2 linked regions of the Saccharomyces cerevisiae S288C genome follow. The gene in region 1 interacts genetically with each later gene. Each region holds a gene or a part of one and is shown on either strand. Other genes may lie near its edges.

Evidence for each region.
Region 2: mutations in STM1 (region 1) and SPR3 together harm fitness more than expected from each alone (negative genetic interaction), as found in Saccharomyces cerevisiae (2 studies listed by BioGRID).

Annotation. Positions count from the first base shown.
Region 1 is NC_001144.5:438,725-441,952, reverse strand, and holds STM1 (Stm1p), read right to left. Parts: upstream 1,487-3,228; coding exon 665-1,486; downstream 1-664. Other genes in the region: PCD1 (8-oxo-dGTP diphosphatase), read left to right, coding at 1-238; GID11 (Gid11p), read left to right, coding at 2,130-3,228. UniProt on the Saccharomyces cerevisiae protein: Ribosome preservation factor that protect a small pool of nontranslating, vacant ribosomes in cells under nutrient starvation conditions.
Region 2 is NC_001139.9:605,579-609,601, forward strand, and holds SPR3 (septin SPR3), read left to right. Parts: upstream 1-1,984; coding exon 1,985-3,523; downstream 3,524-4,023. Other genes in the region: PEF1 (Pef1p), read left to right, coding at 558-1,565. UniProt on the Saccharomyces cerevisiae protein: Septins are GTPases involved in cytokinesis that assemble into filaments and form a ring at the cleavage site. May act by recruiting MYO1 and HOF1, a protein involved in septation, to the site of cleavage.

The DNA of each region.
Region 1 (3,228 bases):
TAAAATATTATTCGACGTTTCATGTATAGCTAATGGACTAATGGACGAAAAGTTAAAAGGAGAACTAGGGCACGAAGATTTGATAGTTGGACTACATGACTATGGTAATCAGATGCAACCGAACGGAAGAAGTGAATGGGAGATAGGAATGATCAACGGCGACAGAAACTTAAAATATAGCGATGTGATACCTGAATACTACATGAAGCACCTGCTGGAGTGCCGCTCGCTTTGGTAAAAAAAACTGTGGTATAATGCGTTGCCTAACAATACTCTCAAGAGATAATCAAGATGAGAGAAAAAGAATCATACTGGATGTCCTTAATCGATAACAAAAAGTTTTTAATGAAGAATGACTAATGATGAAATTGTTATACAAATACAAACAAACTACACGCTTGCACATCTCAGAAGTGAAAAAAAAAAAAAGAAAATTGAAAAGTAAATTAAAAGTCATTTATTTTTTATTGCTTAAATAAAACAAAATGATATGTCATATTCTCGATTGGATGTCAACCCAATTTTATTCTTTGGTTTGCCAGCATGATCATCTTCACTTGCAAATTATATAGTAAATAACCAATTAAAATAATAATAGTAATAGAAACAGAAAGTAGAACACTGTTATTGGATTCTTTCAGTTGGAATTATTCATATATAAGGCTTAAGCCAAAGATGGCAAGTTAGAAACGTCAATGTTACGGTTCTTTTGAACGGTGTTAGCAGAGTTAGTAGCGTTAGCAGTGTTGTTACCCTTTCTAGCGCCTCTACCACCACGACGGTTGTTGAAGTTGTTTCTGCTGTTGTTGTTTCTGTCACCGAAGTTCTTTCTAGTGTTAGATTCAACAAAAGTGGCATCAAATTCCAAGTACTCCTTGGTCTTCAATTGCTTAGATTTGACGTTCTTGACCTTGGTTGCTGGAACGTAAGCTTCCTTTTCAGCAGTTTCAATTCTTTCAGCGTCTAATTCAACCTTCTTAGCTTCTGGGACCTTGTTGAACTGGTTGTTAGCTTGTTGGTTCAAGTAGTCTTGCAAAGACAATTGAGCGGTCTTTGGCTTACCAGCGTCTTCAGCTTCTGCAGCGTCTTCAGCAATTTCAGCAGCAGCATCGGCTTGAGCTTCCTTTTCAGCACTCAATTCCTTCTTGTCATCACCCCAACCTTGGTTAACCTTCTTCTTGGTGTCAGTCTTACCAGTTCTAGAGTGGCGGTCAGTGGCCCTTCTGGTGTTGGACTTCTTGGTGGTGGCAGAGTCAGTGACATCCTTTGATCTGTTGTTTCTTCTACCAGCGGTCTTGTCTCTGATAGCACCCTCGTTACCAGAAGGTCTTGGTCTGTTCTTTCTAGCCTTGGATGGGTCAGCGGATGGAGGTGGGACGTCAGCCTTCTTGGAGGAAGTGTTGCTCTTGACGATTTCCTTTGGTGGCAAAACGACAACGTCAGCGTCTTCGACGTCGTTACCTAACAAATCAAATGGGTTGGACATTGAGAATAAAATGTGTATGCTTTCTTGGTTTATTTCTACTTCACCTCTAAAAGAATACTGTGGGGGGAAGAGAAATTTGCAAAGAAATAACTTCTAATTTAAAACTACGAAGCAGAAAAAAAAATCTTCCACAATAAACCAAGTATACAACTAAAACAAGCGAAGGAAGGAAGAAGAACAAAGGGGATATCGACTCAAAATCAAATATTACAAGGAAAATACCATATAATTTCTCTACTCAGTTAGGGCTTCCTCTACGCAACGATGATATCAAAATTGAAAAAAAAATTTCTTTTTGCGTTGGTGCGAACTTTTGGGAACACTTTCCATTCCAATAATTTCACTTTCCTTTATCTTTCTAAACGGTGATGTTACCCGTCTAAATAACAACATGGTAGCGCCATATGTTATACGGCTACAACTTTGTGTCACGTGACATTGAACGGCTTTAAAGCGGAGTATGATCTCTTTTCTGAGGCAATAAGGGGTGATGATCAGAAAGTGAGGAGGAGGAGACTCTGGATTAAAAGCCTATTACAACTTTATTCTAGTACAAAACTTTTGCTGATTAAGCAACGACAAGTAAGATCGAATAAAGTGGTAGAAAAACAGCAATAAGTTACAAAAGTATACGTGTTAAAGAATGACCATTGATGGCACGGGGCAATCTAAGGAGGCGCTGCAAGATGAACGGTTAAATACTGGCTCTGATAAGGTTTACCAAAACTATATGATGCCTGCTTTAGAACTCTACGATGCCAAGGTCTCCATAAACCATTGGCAGTTGCGGGATTGTATCAAACCAGGCTCCATGAACCAGAGTAAACTGTATTATATTTACGATCATTCGATAAGAGTACTAGATACGGATTCTTCCGTATTGAGGTCTCCAGTAAGGCGACATAATTCTATTCAACCGAGTAACAGTGGTAAAAACTCTACTGAAAAAACGTCTACAAAAGGTTCTAGGACAACGGGCTCGTATATCTCCAAAAATTTACATGTTCCTTCCGAGAAACTGGTAGAGTTCAACTTTAAGCCGAGATGTTTCACGGAATTAAATGGGTTGACTGTTTGTGGTGGTCTAATCGGTTCTGATGATAAGGGATTCCCTTCTAATTGGAACCGTTTAGCTCAAGATGCAAATATTTCGTTGCCGCCACCTTCCCAACCGATTAATATTTCCAAAAATATTAGTTTCCCTATAAATTCACATTATTCAAATCCTAATATCTGGAAGGGCATCGTGGAGTTTTATAATCAAGAAACGGACACAATGATGACTTTTACGTTGGGCCAGTTCATCAATAATTGTGTCACACTTTATGACAGGGCCAGTATGCAGTTTGATCTTTTTGCATGCAACAATGATGGTCATCTTTACCAATGCGATGTAAGTAATAGAGATGTAACACTAGTGAAGCGTTATGCGGATTTAAAATTTCCTTTGAATAACGCTTCTTTGTCACATGATGGTCAAACGATGGTAGTGTCTGGCGATTCTAATAAATTTGCTGTTTACAATCAAAATGAATTAACCAACCAATTCTCCTTACATTACGATAATCATCCTTCCTGGGGTAGTTCTGTCAATCGTGTTAGACGGATACCACGGTTTGCGTTACCTGATGAATCAGAATATATCGAAAACATATATGAAGCTCCAAATTCAGACCATGGGTTTTATAACTCTTTTTCCGAAAACGACTTGCAATTTGCGACGGTATTTCAAAATGGTACTT
Region 2 (4,023 bases), on another chromosome or scaffold:
CATTTATCGTTTGATGGTCATCGAATAGAAGATTCCTAAGCCCTTTTCTTTTTACTCAAGATTTTCTTTTTCAAGCGTGTTTTTTCTGGCAAGTACGAAAACGGCATCTTCGAACTTGGCGAATGAACAATCGGTTTGGTTCAACATTTCCAAGAACAACTACAACATACTATCAGTGTTACTTTCAAAAGTCTTTTAATACATTTGAAATGATATTCAGTGGAAGTGGAATGAAATAGGCCACAGTGAATAGGCCACGATACACACAGCATGTGTCATGCTCAATACCTTGCACCTGAATCTATATAATCTTGTAGTTCACCATTATATACATAACTCAGAAGAAGAAAACAATACGCATATTGGATAGTGCTCCATCGCTTTTAACAACTGATAATTTCAGTCATCTGGCTCAGGGTCTTGTCGATTTTTTTTATTTAGAAACTATCCGAATAAAAAAACCGCAGGAATACAAAGCGATGGGAATTGCTATTTCACTGAACATGTATGTATACCGTATACCGCATAAAATAACTATAAACCTACACCATTAAACGATGTGTGCAAAGAAGCTCAAATACGCTGCTGGCGATGACTTTGTACGCTATGCTACACCTAAAGAGGCCATGGAGGAAACTAGACGTGAATTCGAGAAAGAGAAACAACGACAGCAACAAATAAAGGTTACTCAAGCACAAACTCCCAACACTAGAGTCCACTCAGCTCCAATTCCCTTACAAACTCAATATAACAAAAACAGAGCAGAAAACGGTCACCACTCCTATGGTTCTCCCCAAAGTTATTCTCCAAGACATACGAAAACACCTGTGGATCCTAGATATAATGTTATCGCACAGAAACCAGCAGGCAGGCCTATACCTCCAGCGCCAACCCATTATAACAACTTGAACACTTCCGCTCAACGGATAGCTTCCTCTCCTCCTCCCCTAATTCACAATCAAGCAGTGCCTGCACAACTCTTGAAGAAAGTTGCACCTGCTTCGTTCGATAGCAGAGAAGATGTACGAGACATGCAAGTGGCCACACAGCTATTTCATAACCATGATGTAAAGGGCAAAAACCGACTGACAGCTGAGGAACTACAGAACTTACTACAAAACGACGACAACTCCCATTTTTGTATATCATCAGTAGATGCGCTGATAAATTTATTTGGTGCTTCCAGGTTTGGCACTGTCAACCAGGCAGAATTCATCGCCCTATACAAAAGAGTGAAAAGTTGGAGAAAAGTTTATGTGGACAATGATATCAACGGATCGCTCACCATTTCTGTAAGCGAATTTCATAACTCACTTCAAGAACTAGGATATCTAATACCTTTTGAAGTTAGCGAGAAAACATTTGACCAATATGCTGAGTTTATAAACAGAAATGGAACAGGAAAAGAACTAAAGTTTGATAAATTCGTTGAGGCGTTAGTTTGGCTAATGAGATTAACAAAATTATTCAGGAAATTCGATACTAATCAAGAAGGCATTGCAACCATACAGTACAAAGATTTTATCGATGCTACATTATATTTAGGTCGTTTCCTACCTCATTGATGAAAACCATTCGTTCTTTCTGGTCGTAATACAAATAGAAGAGGTAAACCAATCAATGGCCCGTTAGTTTGCCATTTGCTGCATCCTTCCCATGCAAAGTGTCTTCGTATTTAGTGATGTTTTGTTAGCGACACAAAAGAGACCTCGATGACAGACATTTTTTTTTCTTTACTTAATGTATTATAAGTGTGTCTGACCTCGACTATCATTATAATATTAATTTGAAGTTCTATTTTACATTTATATGAGTTATTCCATTACATAATAAGGATATCAAGAGCAGATTAGTGTCTTTTAGATTATACATCTTTTTCCCCCCTTTTTTGTTGTTGGTAGTGGAAAGAAAAGGATCAATTAACAGAAATAAATAAATAAATAATAAAAACCTAAAATTCCTTTTGCGTCATTGAATTTTTATTATGAAGTCAAAAGGGAGTCGGTTGTCAACAGACTGTCCTGTCGAATTTCCCAAGATAGTCTCTGGATTCGCTGAGGAAGTGAAAATACGTAGACAAAGTTCCCAAGGACAGTACGCCGTCGATTCACATCCTCCGAAAAGCCCTGAACTGAAACACAGAAGACAGAGGTCATCCTCTTTTGTTAACGGTAAATGCAGGAACAGGGACCTTCCATTGTTAGATAACAAGAAAGCACAAGAAATAAACACCAATTCACACGGCCAAGACATCGGTATCAAAAACTTACCACGTCAACGTGAGTTGTTGAATGCCAAAAATGGAATTGATTTTACGCTGATGGTGGCGGGTCAAAGTGGATTGGGTAAAACCACGTTTATCAATTCCTTATTTTCTACTTCTTTAATTGATGATGACATCAAAGAAAACAAACCTATTATTCGTTATAAAAGCATTGTAGAAGGAGATGGAACACACCTTAATTTCAACGTCATCGATACACCTGGTTTTGGTAACAATATGGATAATGCATTTACGTGGAGGACAATGGTTAACTATATTGATGAAGAAATAAGATCGTACATTTTCCAAGAAGAACAACCTGATAGGACAAAAATGGTTGATAATAGAGTCCATTGTTGTTTGTACTTTCTGAGACCTTCAAATAAGGGAATTGATACTTTAGACGTCGTAACAATGAAAAAATTAGCGAAGAGAGTGAATTTAATCCCGGTTATTGCTAAATCAGATTTGCTAACGAAAGAGGAATTGAAAAACTTCAAAACACAAGTTAGAGAAATAATAAGAGTACAAGATATCCCTGTATGTTTCTTTTTCGGCGATGAAGTTTTGAATGCAACACAAGATATTTTTCAAAAATATCCATTCAGTATAATTGCATCTAATGAGTACATTTTTAATGAAAAGGGCGAAAAAGTTAAAGGAAGACAATACAAATGGGGCGCTGTTGACATTGAAAATGAAAAGTACTGTGACTTCAAAATCTTGCAAAAGACGATTTTTGATTGGAATTTAATTGATCTTGTAGAAAGTACCGAGGATTATTATGAAAAATGCAGATCTGAAATGCTAAGAACTAGGCTATTAAAGGCCAGAGATTGCTTAACAACGAAAAGTGTTGACATAACGGAAGAACAAAGGAAATTTTTGGAGGAAGAAATGAACTTCGATGAAATCGAGGAAAACAAACTCAAAAATTACAAGTGCTATGAAATAATTAATAAAACGGTCATGGATAAGGTGGCTACAGAATGGGATCCTGAATTTATAACTAGACAATTAGAAGCTAAGAAAAAATTCAACGAGCTGTCCAACAGAGAAATTTCAAAATTTCGAGACTGGAAAAAGAGCCTATTCATGGAACAAGAGAATTTTAACCAAGAGATTGAACAATTGAATCACAAGTTGGAAAACTTACAACTGGAATGTCAGGACTTGGAATACAAGCTGTTAATCGGAAAAAGTTCCAACAGCCATTCCACAGATAGTGCTACTTTAGTAAACGTTCACATCAAAAGGTAGTATTAATTAAAAAAAAAAAAAAGCCAATAATTTCGCGCAAGCTTTGCTCTACATAATAAAAATACAATTAGGATAGAAATGAATATTTTTTTAGCGGCAGTTTTACCATAAGTAGCAAAACCCTAACAATACAATGTGAGACTAAAGTAAATCCGGGTAATACAAAATACAATTTTTTTTTATTCTTCACAGCGTTTTTTCGACGGAGGAGGGAAAAAAAAAAATTGTATTTAAGGCATCAAATGCGCGACATCATATACCTTTGTCCGCTGTTATCATACCTTGAACCTCTACATTTCAGCCTAGCGCGCGCAAAAAGAAAAAAAAATCATAAGCAAGAGTGGTACGGTAACCACAAGGCAATGCAAAGAAGGGTGCGATATCAAGTGATGTTACCTTCCTTTACTTTTTGCCTTTTTCTTGAATTGTCAATCCGCCCTTTTTTTCTTTTCAGTTTTTTCTCCTTTCATCCGTCTCGTTTATCATAATGATGATTTCAC